3 linked regions of the Caenorhabditis elegans genome follow. The protein of the gene in region 2 interacts with the protein of the main gene of each other region in a pairwise test. Each region holds a gene or a part of one and is shown on either strand. Other genes may lie near its edges. The genes, in order: mrpl-16, pal-1 and tor-2.

Region 1 (7,312 bases), 100 kb from region 2:
GAGATGAATGAGCAATCAGAGATAACCGTTTGTTTTATTGTGTGGCAATCAATTGAGAAGATTATCGTTGGATTTTCGAATAATTCACTAACCCGTTTCCAGCACTGAATAATGAAAGTTTAGAATTTAAAATTAAATAAAGTAAACCCACTTTTAACTTCATCCTCTGTTTTTGTGTTAAACTAATTTTCCCTTCAGGATCCGTGAATTTGCCTTGTTGACCTTTGAATTCATTCACTTTGTCGTAATTGTGAAATGGAACATAAAGTTTGTTGTTAATATTCGAAGTTGTGAACAAGACTGCCAGTTCTTCCTTTGTGAATTTTTGAGAATTCGATGGAGAAGGAGGAAAATTCCGAGTTGGAGATTTAAATGGCTGATTTGATGGAGTGGAAGGAGACGGTTGATTATTGAAATTTAAATTTGAAAGATCTGAAAAAGAATAATTTTCAAATTAATATACAATTCTTAATTCCAACCATCTACTGGTACTTCTGGAAAAAGCAATTCCACCTCTGTGACTTTCTTTTTCAAAGCTACAAGATCTTCTATACACTTTAATGCATTTTCGGCGGTGGATCTTAGTCTTTTTAATGTTTCCTGTGGAAGAGTTCGATTTCTTGAAGCTCCAAGGCATTGCTCTACAACGTTCTCGTATACTTGTCGAGCTTCATCCACTTGGTTTTCGTAGTTTTGAAATACTGCGGCTTTCACCATCAAATATTCAACATTATGCGCTATGTCATCTGTTGTTGGAGGATACTAAATGATTTAAAATAAATAAATATTCATTGTGACCAAAACTTGCTTGTTGTTGAAGGTTCTGGATATTTGATTTTAGGAATTCTGCTCGATTTATGCATTCCATTACATTTTTTCGAAAAATTGGCAGACATTTCTTTTCCTGAACTAATCTGAGCAACTGATTTCCAGCCTCGGTATAACAGAAAATCGCTTCTTCATACTTTTTACCCTGAAAAATTACTTTGAGATTTCGAAATCAACTGATTGATCAAACATTTTCGACAAAAATTAACTATTTCAGCAAAAAAAGCGATTTAAATTACCTGATCATAATATACGGCTTTTTGTGATAATTCGAACGCGGATTGTGTTGCCTTTTCATCCATACGCTGAAAACAGGAAATACTATTTCAAGAAAAAAATCTGATGATGCTGAAATTGTTCAAATAAAAATGAGAAAGTGTCTGTGCTCTCTGCGTTTTGTACAGTCTCTCGCCTGTAAGTTCAATGGAGCGCGGTTGTATGAAATACATTTATTTTATTTTTCCAACTCATTTTTTTTTCAATATTTGAAATTTTAAACTTAGAACCTTTTTCTGGCTTGAATAATCTTTAAAACGCATATTAATCACTTTAAAATATAGAAAATTCAGTAATTCAGTTAAGTTTTTATGCCTCAATGTAAATTATCCCTGATCTCCTTTCCAAATTGTTATTTACTTTGATCAAATTGAACATTTTTGTGTTTTACGAATTTCTTTTATTTTTTTCAGGTGATGATAAATCTCAGATGTGTATGTCGGGCTCCAGTAGCCAACTTGACACAGTTCACTCGTGGAATGAAGAAATACTCATTTCCTGTAACGTATGAAAGTGAGTTATTTCTTTTCTTTATTTTGAAGACTATTAGAATTTTTAACAACTGCTTCTTCATTCTATCAATTTCAGATGTCCGATTTCCACCAAATGGACAGTTGAAGCTACCAGTGATGCCAGCTGAGCCATTTTATGATGCCGAAAAAGGAGAGAAAAAGTAAGAGTTTTATCTCTAACCTATTGATAAAAGTAATTTAATTCAGATACAAGTCAACAAAGCGAATGATTGAGGCGAGAGGAGTAGAAGAAGTACATACAGAACTTATTCACGAGCAGTATGGCCTTGCTGCTGTATCAGGAGGATTCATTGATAGTGATGACTTCAAATTCATTCAAGATCGAATCAATAAAAATCTTATTGACAATCAGTTTTCTGTCTGGCGAGTTGATGCACCATGGCTGCCGAGAACAAAAAAAGCACAGGGAACTAGGTTAGGAGGTGGAAAAGGATCCATTCAGAAGTATGTGACACCAGTAAGAGCAAATCGTATTATTCTGGAAGTTGGCGGGCATATCACTGAAATTGAGGTATTGTTTATCATCTCAAAATCTCCCGAATTCAATTCCATGCTTAACATCTTATAGGCGAAAGCATTTCTCCTGTACCTTTGCGAACGTTTCTCATTCCCAGTCGAGTTCGTAAGTGAGACAATGCTTGCAGAAAGACGTAAAAAGGCTGAAGAAGAACGTGCGATGAACAAAAATGGATTTAATTGGGGTAAAGTCATCAAATACAACATGCAGAATTGTAACAGTTGGCTTTCAAGCTACGATGTCGCCTGGAAAGGAAAATATCGATAGTCCCCAAGAATTCTCATGGAAATTTTTTTAGAAATTGTAGTCTTGTTTTTATTTTTTTGAACTTTTTTGTTGTTACTATGAAGATTCTCCTTAACCTAAATATTCAAAGAGTATTATATTTATGCAAAAAGCTTGATTGCGCAGTCTAACACTGTATCTAGATAATTTTCAATTTATTTTTAAAACTAAATATTTCAAGTCAGCCGATTGGATGGCATTTGGAGACGATGATATTCTTTCAATCCCATTCAAGTGAGTTTTATGCACACTTTTATCTTCAATTTAATGTTTTTCTTCCAGGTATTTCGTTATCTGTATCGGAGGTCTACCATCTTCAGCACTTTTAATATGTGTTATATTATCTCTTCTACTGCACTTTGATCAGGCAACATCTACACATTGTGAAGTTGCCAACTGGTTACCATCCATATCAGCTGCAGTCTCAACGTATACACCTGAAAAGTATATTTGGAGAATTCTAATCGGATTGCATATTGGACCCCGATTGGTAGTTGCAATTGCATTCAGAAACTTTTTATTGGGATCTCCTCTACGACCTCTTACTGGACATAAAAGGCTTCGGTTTTTGTGCAATTTGGCTTGCTTTCTCAATCTTCTAGAGAATTTCTTCCTTCTGGCATTAACATCGATTTCATCAAGTGAAGATCACTGTAAGAACTAAAATGTATGAAATAGTTAACTATTTTTAAATTCAGCTCTTCATGCTAAATGCTTCGGTGGATTTGCTATTTGTTCGATTATATACATGCTTTTGAGCACATGGCTTTTCAATGAAACTGGAAGGAGAACTGCAACAAATTTGGTAAGTTTGCTCACATAATCTTGAAAATTAAAGAGATTAGTAAATAAAAAAGTAAATATTATCTAGACACGAGTAGTTTCGCCATAAATACAGTACTCGACACGCCTTTTTTTCTGTAAAATACAAACAAAAGATGGATCGATGAAAATTCTACAGCAAAAAGGTTTGAAGCTACAGTAATCTTCATAGGCGCACATCAGTTTGTATTAAAGACAAAAATGTCGTGTCCGGTCACCGTAGTTTTGGCAAAATCTGGCGTCTTGAATAACAATTTACGAAAAAAACCTTTATCCCCCAAGTCTAACTATTTTCATAAATTTTTATTTATTCTCCAAAACTTGTTATCTGTGAGAAATTAATTTAGAAAATTAATACTGAAATTGCAGGGTCAACGTTCGCACGAATATAAAATCCTGGGAGCTGCTATTTTCGTTCTATGCTTTTTCCTTGGAGCATATCTTTATTGGAGGCATAACACGTACTGCGAGCCAGGAATTTACACGCTCTTCGCACTTGTCGAGTACTCTGCCGTTTTATCAAACATTTTCTTCCATTGTACTCTATATTATGACTTCCATGGCAAAAATATTGTGTTAACCTCATCGTTTGGAGGCGGACACTACAACCTTCTGCCAACTCAAATCGATAAGGATACGTAACAATTGATGGGTCCTGATGTGATGACAGTTTTATTGCATGATATAATAATATATATTTATTTATTCCAATATTTATTGTTTCGAAAAGCTTCTAATTTTTCGGTTTGCTTCGGGTTTTAAAAATATGTTTCACTTGCATTTTCTCATATAAATGGTTTTCAAAAATATTTGTTTTCACACTGAAATTTAGAAGCAAATAGCCTTACCGTGGCATTCTAGTCTTCACGCGACACCCTAGTTTACAATATGCAAAAATTGCTCCCTCCTTCGTCATATGAATCACTTCTACATTTGAATCAATTTCTCGAAAATTGTAACGGAATCGAATCGTTTGCCAAGTTTACCAGAAAGTGGCCACTATAAGATGAACGATAAGAAAACTGAGAACCTGGGAAAGACCAAGTCAGGAAAGCAAATTATGAAACCTGGATACGATAAGAAAGAAGGTCTTGGTATGGTAAGTATAACTCTCGGCACACGGGCGCCTTTATCATCAAATAATGGAAGAACCGAAATGCGTCCTTCTAACACGGCCATGTGTCAATTTACGCGGCTCGTGTATTCCTCGAGGAAAAGCTGCACATGACTGTATTTGAACTTCACACACTTTCAAGTTGATTTTTTTAATATAAGTTTTTGTATACATATTTAGTCTGGAAACGTTTGTCTCGGTGACCATGTCGTTTTTTAATACATGGCCGTGGCCGCGAAACAGAAAACTCGGCCACCTTCATGAAATGGTTATGAAGCATTTTCTGGAAAATCGGTTTTGCAACACTACCTAATAATATAACTTTCAACACACGTTCATAGAAGAAAATTCGAGTATCCTCATTCGCCAGCTTGAAAAATGTGTCGTTATGAAAGAGCAAACTCGGCCACCGATTTTCGCGGCCACGCTGCAAATGCCCCCGCTACCACAGGAATGTTAAAAATTTTCAGGATCAAAAGGAAATTGTTGGAGATGACAAGAAAGACAAGGAGGCTCGAAAAAGGGAGAGAAAGTTACAAGATGAGTTTGCTGAATTGAAGAAGGACGAAGAAAAGGACAAAGAAGAGGCGGAAAAAGAAAAGAATGAAAAGGAAAAGAAAGAGGAAGAGAAGAAAGAAGACGGACATGAAAAGAAAGAAGACAAGAAAGAGGATAAGAAAGAGAATGAGAATGATGAGAAAAAGGAAAAAAGTAAGGATGACAAGAAAGAAGAAAGCAAAGAGGATAAAAAGGAAAAGACAAAAACCGAGGATAATGAGGGAAAGAATGAGGAGAAGAAAAAAGAAAAGAAAGAAGAAAAGAAAGATGAAAAGGAGAAAAAGGAGAAGACAGAGGATGATAAAGAGAAAGAAAAGGAGAAGACGAAAGAAGAGAAAGTCAAAGAAGATCCGAAGAAGGATGATAAAAGTGGTGTGGATACTATCAAGAAAGAAGGATCAACTGCGCCAGCATCAACTGCTTTGGTCCCACCTCCTCCACGTCAGAATATTCGTAAGTGGTCCTGTTACAAAGAACTATGAGAATAAGATTTTTTTTCAGCGCCTCCAACACCACGTCGTCCGCCTCCAAAAAAGAAGAACGCGTGTTGCGTCGTGCTTTGATGGCAACTCGTATAATAGTACTGTCCGGGGTCTAATGAAGAGTTTTAATTTGTAAAAATTATTTTGACAATGCCCAGTGTTCTGCAATATATGATTTTTTTTCTCAATTAATGGGAGTGTTGTTAAAAATTCCAAGGATTCAATTATATAATCGACTACATTCTACTTTGAATAAAAACAATACTCGGAAGTTTGCGTCTATGTAAGCAAACGTGTTTTGAAAAGTTTCCATGGAGATTGGAGGCACATAATTTTTAGAATCATTCATATAAACTTGCTTCTTTCGACATTTTCCAATTATTCCACAATCCTGAATCAGGAACCAATTGCACTATTTAGTTAACTGCTTTAAACGTTTAAAATTATCCAACAAAAAATCGTTTTAATAAGTTGTTCCAAAAACATTTTACATGATCACATCACTAGATTTTCCTCCGATCTATACATCCATAGATAAAGTCAGTCAAGACATCACTGGTTTATCAATAAAAAAATATGCAAATGACTCCCTAATCACCAAACATTTGAAGGATATATCTACATTTCAAGAGACATCGTTTCCAGTTTCCGTACTTCTCAGAATTCGTTTCCCATGGCACTTTGCCATTCTTTTCCTCTTCTCCTTCTCTCCACATTCCAAATCGATGTTCTTCTTCTTCTTCTCGTGTGTGAGTGCTCCGTTGAGCTTCAACTCCGCCCACATATTTCTCGTTTGCTCTAGTAGTCTAGTACGTCTTCACATTTCTCTGTTTTTGCCCATTTTCTCTTCTTTTCCAGAGAAAAAAGCCTCCACGCTCAACACATCCAGAATTTTTGTTCGATTTTTAATGAAACTCGTGAGTTTTTGCAGAAAATCCGTGGAGCAATGTCGTTGAGCAAGCAGGAACATCCAGATGATCGTATTTCGGCTCTAGACTTTCTTGGAGGACATCTCAAAATTGGAGTTACTAAACCAGTAAGTAGCTTATAGTTGGTTGAGGCAATGTGTGCTTTACTAATAGGAAAATAACCAGTTCTAACAAACTCCAAACTAGTTTTGAATTATTCCATCAGAGCTTCTGTGTAATCATGGAAATTTCGAGCTACCTATGCCTTGTAGGCTCATAGCTAGGTATTCTTGTGCCTGCTTGTAGGAAGCATTGTGATTATTCAAAAGCTCAAATCTTTACGACCAAATTGTTTTTCAGGAATTTTCGAAATAAATAAATGTTTAAACTTGGATTTTTAGAACATCACCCCCCCCCCCCCCATGGTGGCAAAATGACCAAATGTCATTGTAAAAATTAATTTCAAAAGGGTAAAATGAAAGTTGGCAAAAAGTTTAAATAACATTAAAAAGATTTCAGTTTTTAATTTTTTTTGGTATATTTTGAACAAATCTCAATTAGCGATAAATACTCTACTATTATGTGTGAAACTATAATTGACTTTATTTATTAAATGACACAAAGAAACATTCCAAAACATCACTTCAAAGTTTGAAAAACATAGAGACCACGTGATATGTAAAGCTTTATCAGAAAATAGGATAATTTTAAATTAATTAGTAACAATTCGAACACGGAATCAAAAAACACAAAAACTATGTTCCCATGGAAATCTTTTTCTGATGTCATTGTGTTCTGCTTTATTCATTTTTCATCCAAAGTATCAGTTTCAAATTTCAGCGTCCCCAAATACGTTTTGATTTGTCGAAACGTCATGTGGATTTTGGATTCAACATCAAGCAGTTCTTCACGACTCGAATCGGAAAACCAAAAGAGTTGAATAATGAGAAGTTGGCGGTGATTCAGGAAGTAATTGAAGAAGAACAGGT
Region 2 (7,891 bases):
TGGGGACCTAAACTTTTTCCTAAACCTTGAGAAGGGTAAGAAACAAGAAATCACAATAAATAAAGAAGCTCTATATTAGGGAATAATTCATTAGAGAATGATTGGATTAGTTTACAAAGCAGAAGGAATGATCGGAAAGTTATAAATATATATATATATATGTTAAGGGCAGTGATGATTAGAATATTCTGATGTGAGAGAATGGGAGATGGGACAGGAAGAAATTATATAAAAGTGTGAATTTAACCGTATTCAAGCGAGAGAAATGTAAAAATATAATAAATGTGTACAATATTCTAGAAAAATATGAAAATTCCCAGAATTTTTGTACATTTTCTTTGTAAGTAGATGAGTACTTATAGCCGAATCTTCTGTTTGTCACGACGATCCTTTGCACGCCTGCAATTAAAAATATTACAGTATTATTACGGAAATTAACAATTTATCAGAATATATTGAGATCAAAAAGATGCCGTCCCAGTGGTGAATTCAAAAAAAATACGCTTTTCAAAGAAAAGGGATAGGGAACATCAATCTTTTGGTTTATATTCCCTTTCTTTTAATGAATACAATGACCGGTATGGTTCGTCCGTATGTTACCTCTTCCCAGGAAAACGGCGGTCACGTCTGTCCAACACAGTATGTATGTCTGTTTGGATTGGGACGCTACAGGAAAGGGACACACACATTGATTTCCATTTTACAGCACTCTGGGAATCTCTGCCGACGACGTTTCTATTCCCCTCGTAAATCTTTCGATGCGCACTAATATTGTCAAACAAGGCAACAGACAACAAAAAAAACGACTGTTGAGCAGATAATTGGTATATCTCTGCGAGCTGGTCAGAAACCCTTGCTTTATCATTTCTGTAGACTCTTTCATTGAGCTAGAACCTCACCTAATTAAATAAAGGCAAAAACTTGAAATTTGGGGCATTTTGAGTATATTTTTTTGCAAACCTACAAACGATACTCTCCCTTTAACATGCGAGTGAAGGAGATTAACAGTAGCACTTTACGGGAAGTGTTTTATCCCAATAACTTGGAAATTCGCACTAGATATCCTATTCCCTTGTTAATTTCCAAATCCCCGAACGCGTAGATAGCCACACATGCAAGCAGTGACCACCTCTCTTCTACAGTAATACCAATTAGAAAGTCGTAAACGGACCAATTAACAAACTTCATCTCTTCCTCACCTCCACCAGCACGTCTCAAACACTGTGGCCTCCAATTACACAACTTTACGACTCTTTAATTCCTTGGAACTATCTCTACTGCGCGCGTGGACTGAACTGAATCTTAAAGAACGAAAGTGTGGTGGTACTTTTTCCTATGGTTACAGTAGGAGGTGACAGTCATTGTGATGAGTCCCCTGGAAAAGCCTGAGAAAGAGTAAGCAAACAGCAAACAGCAAACAACGTATTTGGCTCGAAAGGGCGCGGAATGAATGAATTCAAATGAGATTTGCAGAGGGCAACATCATCTGTTAATTAAATGACGTTGTGAAATATGTGTCAATATTTGAAGTCTAATCTCATGATTCCAATAAACCAAATTAAACTTTCAGATCTATTAATATGACATCTCACACCATAACAATCCCAATTTGCCACCTCTCATCATATAAATTGAGGTCACTCTAACACTCTTTCACGGCTAAAGACTCTCCTGCTACCTGCCACACGGGTCGAATTGCGTAAGCACCGTAACTCATACACCGCATCACCTTTACCGCCTTTCATCTCTGTGCCAAATCAAGAAAACTTGATATTATTTTGGTGTCTTCAAATTTGTAGTAATCAATCATCCCATTTTAGGCAGTGAGTTTAAAAAAGAATCTACCTATTTTGAAACCAAATCTTGATTTGTCGTTCTGTCAAGCTTAACATCGTCGACAATTGGGACTTGCGATCTGATGTTATGAATGGCGATGTATGGAATTCTTTTTCCAGTTCAAGGCGTTGATAATCCGAGTAAACCATACGGTATTTGTCAGCTGTTCGTACACGGACATCTGAAAATAAGTTTAATTACAAACTCCCTCGTAATAAAATGGGAAATTGATGGGAAAGGAATCATAAATACTCAATTCATTTGTCCTAGTTACTGATAAATATGACTGATAGCGGCTTCTTTTTCACTTGAAGAGAGATTGTTTGCACACGGGGAGACTCTTTTGAAAACTTACTATTCGTTCCAGGTCCCGTTGGTAATGTTTTCCCATCACTGCTTGATCTTCGATCCTTTCCATGATTGTTTCCAAGAGGCATTTTCCACGAGAATCCCTGAAACTTAAATTATCTTTAAAACAAGCTCACTTGGAGGAGAACTAACAGATCAAAAATTGGCTGCTTTATTAGACTTATTAGACATTATTAGAGATATTTATTAGACAAGTTACCACAAACGACAGAATTTCCTAATTTTATGGCAGCTTAAAATATCGAAAAGAGCCAAAAATGCTGAAATCTAAAATTTTATCAACTTATCCTTGTCTAGTAGCTGAAATACAGTTTTTAGTAAGTTTTCATTTTTCATTGCATATTTTGGTAATTTATCTCGTGTTAATTCGTTGATTTAGGCGCGTTCTAAGCCGATAGGCACTGAATTTTTGTAATTTTTGGAAGTAGACTGCTTAAATCAATGAATAAACGCGAGTAGCCGTACCTAAAATATGCAATAAAAAATAAAATTCAATAAAAACTGTACCAACAATTTAGAGTCATAAAAAATGTGAACAGTTTTTGAAAAGTCTCGCTAGGAAATTATGTTTTTTGGTGTTATAAAAGCCAACAAAGGTATTAAAATACAATTTTATATGATTACCTGTTGATAATCCATAAACGGCCAAACAGATTGCTGATAACACGTGGCAGCTCTCATCTGGTAGTTGGCTGCAGCAGCAGCAGCTGCTGAAAGCTCTGAAGAAGATGCAGCTCCAGATGATGTTGATGGGAACGGTGTCATCATATCACTCGGTGATGGATACATTCCACTATCACTACTGCTACTTCCATTCGAAAGCGGTGGCTTCACATCAACGGCTTCTACTGCTGGAATTTGTCCGTTGGCAGCGAGTTGTGGAAGGCCGAATGGATAGAGATCCGGATGTCCCTGGAAATTCAATTTTTAAATAAAAAACCTTAAGGAAATTCATTCAAAACGTACGTAAAAACCAGTATCACCCATTTGTGACCACCTTCCATAGATTTGTGGATCAAATGTTGGTTGCAGCATCTTTTCTCTGAAAAAAGAAAATTAAGTATAAAATGAAAAAAAAAAACAAGAAAAACTTCAAAATATAGCACCTCCTTAATCAAATGTTCTTGTCAATTGATACACACACACACGCCTATTACCTCTTAGACACCCTCCCGCTTCATTCCAACGGTGGAAATGGGCGGAGCAATGTCTTCCAATACACTGTGGAGGCGGGGCGTTACCGTACCCTCCGGATAGATCGAAAATTTGCATATAACCTTTCAAACAAATTCTATCATCAAAAAGGCGACAATATTTGAGAATAAATACATGGTTAGCAAATATTTTGAAGGAGATAAATAAGAGAAAGGGCATGGATTTACAACCATGTGTGTGTGCTGGATTATTAAATATTTATGGTATTTAATTTTGTTCACTTGGTCGTAATGAAACACCAACAGGAAATATTTAATTTTTCGTTGATTTTGAGATTCCAAATAAAAATTTCGAAGATCTAGCCTCAGAGGATGTGGTTGCATGAATGGCATCATTGGATAGTGAGGCCACGTGACATCTGCTGGAACTGTTGTTGGTGAAGGTGTTGATGAGGACTCGTTTTCCGAAAAATCCGACTTGACATCGACCGACATTCTGAAAACGAGGAAGTAATTATCAGTTTATATAGAGAAAAGTGAACAGTAATAAAAATTCAAAATTTGAAGGAAGATTTTCGAGATTTGATGAGAATAGCAATAAAATAACGAGCTGGCAACCCGGCACCGCCTCCTGCGGCTCATTGAGCACTTGGGAAGGCGGGATTTATCAGATATGAACGGGAGAGGGAATTGTGAATGATTTATAGCCACACGTCGATTTTCAGACAAACATATCACTTTTACAATGAGACAGGTCGGCAAGGAAACAAAAACGCCCAGTTCGTTGGGAAATAAATTATTGGTCTGTGCAGGAAACTGTCCGAGACTGTATTCGAAGATGGATTTTCTTACTTTAATAAAATATGCGTTTTTAGAATTGATTTTTAGCATTGAAATTAGCAAGACAAATATAAAAGAAACGTTAAAACTCAACAGAAATGAAGAACAGAAAAAAATTAACACTGAAAAATTTTTACTGACTGATCAGCTCAATAGAGCGCACTTTCCACTTGTCGATTTACGAAGATTTTTATTTAATTTATTGTTCAATAGTTAACTTGCTGTTAAATATCTTTTTATTTAAATAAATATTTTAAAAATTATAAAATTTTGAAAAAGATTAGAAAAAATCATCTAGCCAAAAATTAAGAAAAGAAGAATTTTAGCCACTAAATTTAATTTCAATGAGATCCCGCCTTTAAAATAATTTGAAAAATAGATCACTCACCTCATATTTGATCTACTCGCCCAAATAATAGTAAGTCTACCGGCCATTGAGCCCATCTGGAATTGAGGTTCCATTACGATGTTCATTAGGAAATAAATGAGCGATGAAAGTTTAATTGAGTACGATACGAATGAGCATTTATGACTGACAGGTTCATGTGGAGCAAAGATTACGGTAGCAGAGAATTATTTCTCTTATCAGAAACGAGTGATCTATTAAATAGTTATTCTAAAAGTTGGAGATTCTTAACAAAAAATGTTGCTGAAATCGACAATTTGTCCTCCAAAGATTTGATATAAAAGGCAACAATGAGACCGCCCTTTGACTGATTATGTACCTTCTTTCAGAACATTAAACATTTACGATCTGGGAACTCTGCAGCTGTCATGAAGAACAACAAATGGAGCATCTGAAAATATCAAAGAGTCGCTTACTACTCGATTTCATGCACTATCAAGTTTGACCTGAATATGACCCGGCTGTCTGTTGCGTAATCGTTTTGCTCTTTGTGCATCTATGATACCGCCGTGAGAAGAGCCGCGTCTCGTATTTATTGCCACCCACTGTTGGGAATAGTTAGATAGCTGGTAGGAGAAACAAGATTTATTTACTATAAAATTTATTTGTATCAAAAAAGCTTAAATTTTAAAACAAAAACGAATATAAATTAAAAAAGAAATTTAACACGAGGTCTGCTTTATTCGCAGTGACCTTCTCGCCCCAAGTTCGCCGGCGTGGTTGTTTGAAAAGTGATCCACGAGCTGCTCCTTCGTCTGGGAAACTTCATTGCAGGTCCTGCATCGGAAGCTCTTGAATTTTTCAAGATCCTGAAAAACAACTTCAACTAATTTTTTATAATTTTCAGGCTTACCTTATCGTACTGAGATCCTTTCCCCACCAGCACTGCACCGATGAACACATTATCTCTGAAACTCTCATTTAAATTGAAAAAAAAAACACAACTAGAATTACCTTTCAGCAGATCGTCCATGGTTTCTGTTTTCCTCATCTCGAATCTTTTTCAACTCCTTTGCAGCATCAACAGGTGCTCCGGTCCGCTTGGCTAAATTGGATTGACGAACAACGGCAGACTTGACTCTTTTCGCTGGTTTGAGGGAGCTGGACGATGGATTCTTTTGACCAACCACATCATATGACGAAGCGTGGCTCCTATCGACACGTTCCACGAGAGAATGGACAAGTGCCATCATCTTATCCATATTTTGCTGGCTCCGCTCGTCGGCCTTCTCTCTTTCAGCTCGATGCTCTTCGCGAATGGATCGTTGATCGGCGCGAGCTTCTTCTTGGGCTTTTAGCATCTTCTCACACAACTGCCCAAACATGGATGACTGAGCAGCCAGAGTACCCAGTGAGTGCACAATCTGAAAAATAATTCCATTTCAGTAATGGCTCAATTGTAAAAGTCAATGTACTAACCGCATTTTCCAAAGAGTTTTGTGGTGGTTGGAGCATCGGATTTTGGAGTTGGTAGGGGAAGAATGGGACCATATCGCGGTTGAGGGTAAATCCCGCCATATTCGGTGCACCATTTCCCACAGCAGAAAGCAAACTCGCGGGAGTTTCAGTAGTCTGGGCAGTCTGTCGGGTGGCGGAATCGCCATTCTGAAAACGATTATTTTTTAGGTACAATGAAATGAAAAACTCACTTGGTCAGCAGAGGCTGGAGCTGGAGTGCTTGGCTTGCTCATCCTGAAATGTATGATTTTGTGAAGATTTGCACTTTTAGCAGCTAAAACGACAGTGATCGTGGCGAGACCCAACGAGAAGAATAGCGTGAACACGTTCTAATAAAAAAAATTCCGAATCAAAAGCTGAAAAGGAAAGAGGAAAAGGTGAAAAAGTGAACTGTTAAAATCGAGAATGTCGATTCTGACGAAAAACGTGGCACACGTTGCTTCGCCCATCTCTTCAAGAGGCACGTGAGGTCATACGGAAGTTCATCTTTTTCGTTTTTTAAAAACATTTTGTTTTAAAGGGAAAAATTAGAAAACTTCAATGAAATTGAAAAGAATATTCTGAATATATTTCCAAAAAAAAATTTTCAAAGCAAATTTTTGAAAATTTTTTACAATACAGTTTTTATTTTTTGCCGTAGTTGCTCTTTTGGGAAGCTCATATCTCTCTGCATTTGAAAGATATCAACAAATTTTCAACAGCAATGTCGTAGAGAAAAATACATAAAACATATTTTTCTTGTTGCCATTTTTTGATATTAAGACTAATAGCAGCTGAGATACAATCTGCCAAAGTTTGTGTGTGCATCACTTCTACAAAATAGCCTATTTCAGAATGTTGTGCCTATATTTTTAATTAAAATTTAGTTTCAAAATATAGAAAAATATTTAAATGGCCTGAAGATAACATGTTGCATTCTGAAAGTATACAGTATGAAAGTTATCAATTGAAGAATTTTCCCCGATTATTTGGAGGATTATATTCTAAAATTGTTAAGCATCTTTCTATAATTTTAAACGAATCAAAAAAATAACTTTATATTCATATTTCAATTCTAAATTTCTCTAAATTACTAAAAAAAACGTTGTTGGAATATTTGGTAATTTACCAAAACATGAACGAAATAAAAAATCTAAAATGCAGAATGTACTTTTTCCTGAAACTTTTTAAAATGTAATTTAACCCAGGTATTCCAAACTTTTGTGAAACTTTTTTGTTGGTTTCTCACAGACGGGTGGCGCAACCACTTGGATTGTCTTACTGCGGATTACTGTGCGGCAAAACACCAAACAATGTATAATCTTTTGTATAATTTAAGTGCTTATATCCTTTGCTTTTTTCGCAATGAGATACCGATACCGAAGCCAGAGAAAGACGGCCCTTCTCAGCTTGATACCACGATTTACGAGCGTGATGCGGAAGGAATAAAGAAAAAGCCTAACGCCGACCCAGTTGGAGGAGGAGGTGTCGCATTTCTTTTCGCGCATCTTTTGACGCGAGCCCGACGAAGAGCACATTGTGATATAAACAATTAGTATGATCTTCAAGAGAATGTGTTTATGTATTCAAGGAAAGATAAAACGGATTATTAGGAAAATGTGGAACATTGGAAAAAAGAACATCATCTCCAATTGTAAGGAGTTTCATACCAAATATACTAAAACTAAAACATATTACAAAAAACCAAGTATCTAATTGAAACAACTTTTCGGACTATTTTGTCAAATTTTTTGGCAAATTACCAAATTTGTTGAACAACTCTATCGTAATAAATACAATACAATACAACTTATGATCAACGTCCAAAATGATGATAAGTGAAAACTGA
Region 3 (7,891 bases), on a different chromosome or scaffold from region 2:
TTGGCACTGCCACGTGGCACTGACCAATCCCCCTCCTCACGGACCACCTTAACAATCTGATCTTGGGCTACAGAACACCGCGTTTCGGGATCTTGTGTGGCATTTGAAATTCTTACCCACGAGAGGTGGGCCATACTGCAAAATTTTGGAAAATTTGAGAAAAAAGTGTTCAGACGCAGACGGAGTTAGTCAAGCTTTTTTTTTGAAAATTACATCAAAAATTCAATTAAATTTCCAATTTTCGAATAGAACACTAGTTCCTATTGCAAAATGTTTATAGTTTCTATGGTGTTAGATTGGATTTCGTCAGTGAGACGAGAAACTAAACAATATTTTTATAAAATAAACAATTAGTAAGCGATAGACCAGCCAGAGACCAATTTTGTGAAATTTTCTTTTTTTCAAAAATTCCCAATTTTTAGCTAAAAACCCCAGTTGTAAAAAAAGGATTATTTCAATGAAAAGCCATCACAATTGAAACATGAAAAGTGCGTGTTGGGATATGAAAAATCGATATTCTCATCGAGAAGAAGACGTGCTGCTGCGACGTCGCCCGCCCCACCAGCCGAGAAATCGAAAGATGCAAGTTCGCTCTATCGTTCAACTACTTGTCATGTTTTGAGGAGACGCAACGGGATGAGGAGGGGGCAAGACACAACAAACACGCACACAAAAAAAAGCACTTGTGTGCACACAAAATTGAGGGAATTAAATCGAGGAAGAAAATGCCGAAAAAAACTGCAAAAAAAAACTAATAATGAGGAACCGAAAATGTCATCAATGAATACGAGTTTTTTGAAGAAAAAGGCTTTAAAATTGATGTAAATATTTTTATTTTTTTCGTAAACTGAACCCTAAATTGATAAACGGAAAAACTGATAAAAAGTTATGATGAAAAAAACAAACAGGAAAAAGAATTGTTTTTGTTTACAAAATATAGTTTAAATTTTAAATTCTCTGAGTTCGAAGAGGACTTTTTTTCAAAATCGTTTTGTCGCGCGGTCAGCCTTTGGTTTTGAGCGTTTCTGAGAAAAATTTGAGTAGATCACACGTAGATCATATTATATCTTCTTCTAATTTCACATTTAAATGTGCATTTCTATAGATTTTCCCTAAAATTTTGTGTGATCTACACTTGATCTGCCCTAAATTTTCACAGAAACACTTAAAAACTTGTTTTGTTTTCTCGTGAATAATATTTTTCTAATCAAAATTTTAATATAAAGGAACCAAATAAACATGAGGATTTTCAATTAAACAAATCTTTTGAAACAGTAATTTTTCCCGGTGAACAAAATTGCAGTAACCAAGTTTAAAAATTCCATATTTTTTCACAATTTCCAAGTAAACAAAAACTAAATTTTTAAACAAATAATTTTTATTATAAGCACATAAAATATGAAATCCTGGCTACAATTGGTGGAATATTGTCATAGTTTCCTCCATTTTCGATCCAGCGGTTCGTTACAAGCCTGGAATTTAATTGCTTTTTATTTTAAAAATAAAAATCACTTACTTCAAAATTTTCCCATCACAACTATTCCCAGAATAAGTAGTTTCTTCTGTTGATACTGCTAGGAGGAGTACAGTTTTTGGGATGGGAAAAGTTCCATGGTCCGCAAAGGCATGGAGCACTAAAACTGCATCCCATGCAAGAAGATCAATATTTGTCAGGACTGCTGTTCTAGGTGTCATTTGTGATGCGAGAGCTAAAGTGGTAAGTGAAATAAATTTCAAGAGATTTTCGGAAAAATACATTTACAACTATATAACGTAAGTGTCAAAAATGCCCAAAATTAATGAACTTGGTGAAACAGTTAAAAAAAAACTAACCATTGTTCAATATTGCATGTAGCTCTCCTCTTTCAAGTTGATTTCCAATTTCAATTGGTAAATTATTTGAATTTGTCTCTGATTTAGAATTTTGAATTGCCTTGTTTAATTTTTCAGAAAACTCATTAGCTTTCAAACCAGCAATAACTATGACAAGCGGAGCATGTTCATCTGGATGTAAAAACATTTGTTCACCAATTAATCTCAAAAGATTCCGATTTTCTTTTGAAATATCTGAGAAATCCGAATTGACAAAGGATCTTACTGATTCTATGTAGTTTTGGTAGGGGTTTCGATCCTGTAAATAAGCAAATTTATTTGTCGAAAGGAACAAAGTTATGTGGAAAAATCAAACCTGGTTTGGTTCATTTTGAAGCATTGAAAAAGTTCCTTGAGATATAAAAAAAAGTGCAGAGAGCAAAAGAATCAGCAGTGTCATTATTAAATTATTCGAGATTTCCCACTTTCTTGAAAATGTCTTTGATAATGTTTTGATCATATATTTTCTGTCGAATTGAACGGCATCTGAAGTAGCATGTATATTGTTAATAGTTACATTTCTGGACTTTTAGGGGAAAAAACTCACGGCTTTTTTCGGCAATGCACAAATTGCAAATTACATTTCCACCAGCAAGAACAATTTCCGTGTTTGACCAAATTTTCAAAGTGCAGAATTGGCATTGCGAATAATCTGGAAATCGTTACATTTCTGAATAGAAAACTACGGATTACATTGTAGGTAGATTTTTAGATAGGCCTTACCTACAGCAGGCGTTACGTTTTTTGCTATCTTTTTTGTGTACATATTGCTACCTATTTTAGAATCTAATTTTGCATAAGTTTACAATTTTTTAATTTATTCTAAATTTGCCTAAAAAATTAAAGAAAACAAAATTTTTTGGCGTTCTACAAACTTTAAAAACTCACACTGAGTTTTCTTGTTGAATTCCATTCCCATCGTTCCACTATTTTTCCGCGGAGTCATCTGAGGATGATAATGATATTTAAAAAAAAGAAAAACATGCATAAATTAACAAATTAATAAGTATTTGGAACTTCAAACCACTTAAAGCCTTAGAGAACACCGAACCATAAAAAATATTGAACACAAATTTATCAACATCTTGAAACAGGAGAAAATACTTTCACAACTCATCATTAAACTCTTTCTTCGAATTGAGTGAGAATCCCATCTTGGAAATTTCGAGATCAGTCTTTGCATTCACACGTTTACATCCTGACGAGGAAAATATTTTGCTAGATTCAGGGAAAAATTCAAGAGAATCAAGAACTCTTTGCATGAATTCTCCATCCTTTGCCAAATCATGTCTTCCGCGTTTTCGAAGATGTACTTGAATGCACTGGGAAACGTAGAACTTAGATAAGGGAAGAAATGGTATAAAATGATCAATAAGTTGATTAGAGATCATATCAGTGTTACGAAGACCACCTTCTTCATTGAATGCAGAAAGCATCAGTGTTCGTTCAAAATGCTTCAACTCGAGTTGTGATCTTATTTTACCATTTTCATGATGTTCTAATGCGATATTAGCAATTTCTTTGCTCCCTTTGTTGCTTAGAAAAATGAAGATAGTTTTCCGAAAGTCCACTCCAAAGACCGCCGGATAATAATCAAGAAATGGTTTGATCACTTGAATCAATTCACTTTGTAGCTTATCCGTCTCATCAAATATAAAAATAGATCGCTGACATCTTCGGGCCGATCTTATAAGTTGATCTTTCAGTTCCAATTTATAATCCTCAATATACTTTTTATTCGGAAAATTATTTGTTGCAACGAAATAATTCACAAATGGGCTGTGCATTCCACTTCTAAAACATAAACTTGTTTCTCAAAAAAATTTTAAGCAATGAAAAGTTACCGATAAGTATTGTTCACAATAATTTCAGTCACATAATTCTTTCCAGTGCCGGTTCCGCCGTGAAATGAGAGAACTAGCGGCTTCTGAGAATGCTCATTGTGCCAATGAGATTTGATTGAATGAACTACAGATTCTGCCATCAAGTGCTGCCCGAAAATTTTATTATCGAAATCTTTGTATAACGCTGAAATGTAAAGTTTAGAAAAATATTTAAAAAATAAACGGTTTTTCTTTCAAAAGTATCAAAAAAAAAAGTGCGAAAAATGCTCCTTATCACGGAGCACAACTCAAAATTTGTATATAGCTGTGTTTTACATTAGAAACAATTTGCATGGTGTTCTGAATTTTGACTGAATTTCTTAAAATATTGCTACTCACCATGATAATTGAATATATCCGTTTCACCGCAGCAAGTGTAAAATAAACATTTTAAAAACATTGGCATTGATAAGCTGTGGACATCGACGACTAATTGATTAAGAATGATAACGAAAATAATATATTTAAAAAATTGCATCTTTCTTTCAGAATAAAACAAAATATTTGACAAGTGAGAAGTAAAGGAAAATGAAATGGAACAGAAGATGTCGCTTGTTATCTGCGTATTCTTGCTAACATCAAAATATCCATGAGAAATCACACCGAAAAATAGATTGATGCACTGATAACGAAATTTGAAGATAAAGAAACATTGAACATAGAATTTAAATTTCAATAGAAACCATTTTTCAGCGAACTTTTTCATTTCAAAAGGGCTGATTTTATTCAAAAACATTTTTGTACCAATTCAATTTTATTTTGAGCAGTTACTACAGTTCAAGCTTAATGCAAAGATAATAAAAACTAATTAACTTATGAAAGGTGGAGTACCTGGTGGAGGTAAAAGTATCTGGTTCAAAATCATTTTCTACTCGCAAAATTAAATAATAAAATGAATACAATAAAAACGTAGTTATGGACAATTTGAAACAGGGGAAATATTTACAACTCATCATTGAGTTCATTCAATTTTGTAAATGTTGCTAAATCAACAAAAAAATTAAACACTTAGAATGAAAACAAATTTCTGGACATTTTGAAACAGAAAAAAAACTACAACTCATCATTAAACTCTTTCTCCGAATTGAGTGAGAATCCCATCTTGGAAATTTCTAGTTCAGTTTTTGCATCTACACGTTTACATCCTGACGAGGAAAATACCTTGCTAGATTCAGGGAAAAATTCAAGAGAATCGAGAACTCTTTGCATGAATTCTCCATCCTTTGCCAAATCATGTCTTCCGCGTTTTCGAAGATGTACTTGAATGCACTGGGAAACGTAGAACTTAGATAAGGGAAGAAATGGGATATAATGATCAATAAGCTGATTAGAGATCAATTCAGTGTTTCGTAGACCACCTTTCTCATTGAATGCATGTGACATAAGTGTTCGTTCAAAATGCTTCAACTCGAGTTGTGACCGTTTTTTAAGATTTCGACGATGTTCCAATGCAATGTTCGCAATTTCAGAGCTTCCTTTGTTGCTTAGAAAAATGAAGGTAGTTTTTCGAAAGTCAACTTCAAAAACGGCTGGATAAAAATCAAGAAAAGGTTTGATTGTTTGAACCAGTTCACTTTGTAATTTATCCACCTCATCAAACACGAAAATGGATCGATCACATCCGTCGGCAGATTGTATTAGTTGTTCTTTTAGTTTCAATTTATAATCCTCTATATGTTTGTTGTTTGGAAAATCCTTTGTTGCAACAAAATACTTCACATATGGGCTTTGAAGTCCACTTCTGAAACACTAATGCATTTTTTTCAGAAAGTATGCAAAATCTTGAACAATTACCGAAAAGTGTTTTTTGCGATGATTTCAGTCACATAGTTCTTTCCAGTACCCGGCCCACCATGAAATGAGAGAACTAACGGTTTCTGAGGATGCTCATTATGCCAGTGAGATTTGATTGAACGAACCACAGTATCTATTACCAAATGCTGGCCATAAATAAATCTAGAAAGATCTCTGTGTAGCTCTGAAATGGGAAACTATAACAAGTACTAACTCAAAAAGGGAGTTCTTTCAAATTTTCAATACAGATTTTCTTTTGGCTTTTTTTTACAAAAGTACAAACTGTCTCATTCAAGCTTAAAAGGTGCGTAAATATTTTAAGTATTCACTTTTTCCACCGGAAGAGTCTAATTTGTTCAAATTGTATCTTATACTCACTAAGATAATCGAATATATCCGTTTCAAAACAGCATGTGCAAAATAACCATTTTAAAAACATTGGCAGTGATAAACTGCCGATTGGAAAAAGAATCAACAATAAAACATAAATTCTCATCACAAAAATGCAAAAATAGGTCAGAAATAATTTTGATGTATGTAACATAAACTGTGAAATTGTTGGAATTTTAATCCCACAAACAATTGGAAAGGGATTACTGGTGAGCAGATTTGTGCGAAATCAAATGACCATTCAAATTATGAATTGCGTTTGTAATAGATTCTATAGGTAACTGAAAGCATGTTTTTATAATGTGCAATCAATTATAATTAAATTTTCTGAAGCACAGTTTCCTAGGATGAAAAAACAATTGAAAAAAAGTAAACTGTACGATGTTGACAATGAACACGCCATTAGATTCAGTAATTAACGAATTCAATAAATGTTTTGAAAATGATTTGTGGAGGAATTCGATGAATGGGTCGATTAATCAATGAAATTACTTATAAAATCGAGAAAAGCTATCTATAAAAGTAGCAGAGTTTTTTTTTGTTGAAAAAGTAAAACTGTATGTTATTTATGTTCCATATGTGCTTGATCCAAGGAAGTGCCGCAACCTTTTGCTCTGGAAGTTTCTGATTTTTCAAATGTTGTTAAAACACTGTTAAAGATACTATTGTGACGTCAGAATTTCCTAAGATAATATATACCTAGTCCATTTTCTGTAGAGCAAAGAAAGAAGAGATTCCAATTATTTTTAAGATTCCAATTAGTTCTATTTTTTGTGACTCGCGTGTTTTTTGGTGCCTGAAAAACTATTTTTTTTGATAACGCGGCTAAGCACAGAATGGGACAGACTTAATCTTCCAATATTTTCATAACTATATGAAACATACAAGTTTTGGAAATATAAAAAGCTATAGAATTAAAAATAAACAAATTATCAGAAAGGTGTCAAATTGCAATTACAATTACCAGTTTTTTTACGGAGAAAAAATTTGCTCGACTAAAAATGGTGTTTCAATTCCAATTTTCAGCTTTTCAATTTTCAATAAAAATTTTTTAAAAGCCAAAACAAAGACGGCAGTAGAAAGATTTTTCTGGGTACGATAAATGAACCATTAGAAACAATAGAAAAAAGTTCCACATTTATCAATGTTTGCAGAATATTCTCGATAAACATGAATGTTTCAAAGCCATACAAGAGAAATCTGAAACAAAATTTTAATTGACGTATACTATGGGAAAATTGTATTCAAAAATGTGAATATGGAAAAATACTTCGACACAGCGAAACAAACTTTTTATATCAAATTTAACAGTTACAAATGGCTGAAAAACGCTGCCTGAAGCGCATATTTAGGAGACCTTCCGAAAAAATGTTTTCCAGCTTTGACAGATGTTTCAGAAAAAACAAGTTTTCATATCTCTCTGGGAACTAAAACAAGAGTAGCTAGCAAGTTAACCGGTTTAAAATTTAATCTTGCAATTTTAATCAGTAATTTTATCAAAAAAAATCCAAAAATAATTATATTATTTCAAATAGTTGTGATCTTTCAATTACTCTTTAGAAATTTAGAAACAGTTTGTTATTGTACCGAAAAGTGACTTACTAAAAATTTTTCATTTAAACAATTATTACAAAAGTACTGATGAACAGATTTATAGGAAATCAAATTACCATTCAAAAAAAAAAAGAATTTAGTTTGTAATCGATTCCAAAGGTAGTGTAGATATTTTTTTGAGAACAACAAATAAACAATTAGAAACAGTAAAAAAAATTGAAAATACTCACATTTATCAATGTAAGCGGAAAATTCCTGATAACAAGCATGTTTTAAAATTATATAGTGTGATTCTCAAACAAAAATGTAATTTATTGATTTATTTACAGCATAATTTTATTTTGAATTTTAATGGGGAAATATATTCAAAAACTGTAAATATGGGAGGATACTGTGAA

The links.
Region 1: the proteins of pal-1 (region 2) and mrpl-16 interact in a two-hybrid assay, tested with the Caenorhabditis elegans proteins (one large-scale study listed by BioGRID).
Region 3: the proteins of pal-1 (region 2) and tor-2 interact in a two-hybrid assay, tested with the Caenorhabditis elegans proteins (one large-scale study listed by BioGRID).

The regions. Positions count from the first base shown.
Region 1 is NC_003281.10:4,702,887-4,710,198, forward strand, and holds mrpl-16 (Large ribosomal subunit protein uL16m), read left to right. Parts: upstream 1-1,517; 5' UTR 1,518-1,520; coding exon 1,521-1,617; intron 1,618-1,692; coding exon 1,693-1,777; intron 1,778-1,823; coding exon 1,824-2,148; intron 2,149-2,205; coding exon 2,206-2,421; 3' UTR 2,422-2,521; downstream 2,522-7,312. Other genes in the region: clp-2 (Calpain catalytic domain-containing protein), read right to left, coding at 1-104, 152-432, 480-762, 809-973, 1,068-1,130; pgap-2 (Post-GPI attachment to proteins factor 2), read left to right, coding at 2,633-2,673, 2,722-3,092, 3,138-3,244, 3,631-3,903; T04A8.13 (G-patch domain-containing protein), read left to right, coding at 4,268-4,360, 4,846-5,386, 5,435-5,496; T04A8.18 (F-box domain-containing protein), read left to right, coding at 6,362-6,451, 7,164-7,310.
Region 2 is NC_003281.10:4,804,855-4,812,745, forward strand, and holds the start of pal-1 (Homeobox protein pal-1), read right to left. Parts: upstream 3,856-7,891; 5' UTR 3,855-3,855; coding exon 3,724-3,854; intron 3,248-3,723; coding exon 3,172-3,247; intron 3,118-3,171; coding exon 2,830-3,117; intron 2,506-2,829; exon of another isoform or gene 2,357-2,505; intron 2,295-2,356; coding exon 2,192-2,294; intron 2,018-2,191; coding exon 1,846-2,017; intron 400-1,845; coding exon 357-399; 3' UTR 1-356. Other genes in the region: C38D4.7 (C2H2-type domain-containing protein), read right to left, coding at 5,268-5,414, 5,459-5,513, 5,560-5,969, 6,025-6,210, 6,255-6,296. UniProt on the Caenorhabditis elegans protein: Transcriptional activator. Interacts with promoter regions for tbx-8.9, tbx-9, elt-1, hnd-1, scrt-1, and vab-7 genes. Binds the sequence ATTTATGAC. Binds to the enhancer region of the hlh-1 gene promoter during embryonic body wall muscle development.
Region 3 is NC_003282.8:13,979,706-13,987,596, forward strand, and holds tor-2 (Torsin), read right to left. Parts: upstream 4,437-7,891; 5' UTR 4,156-4,436; coding exon 4,095-4,155; intron 3,901-4,094; coding exon 3,717-3,900; intron 3,667-3,716; coding exon 2,979-3,666; 3' UTR 2,931-2,978; downstream 1-2,930. Other genes in the region: dnbp-1 (SH3 domain-containing GRB2-like protein), read right to left, coding at 25-134; gei-18 (GEX Interacting protein), read right to left, coding at 1,382-1,472, 1,517-1,709, 1,834-2,131, 2,189-2,358, 2,420-2,524, 2,761-2,818; tor-1 (Torsin), read right to left, coding at 4,809-5,496, 5,550-5,733, 5,928-5,988.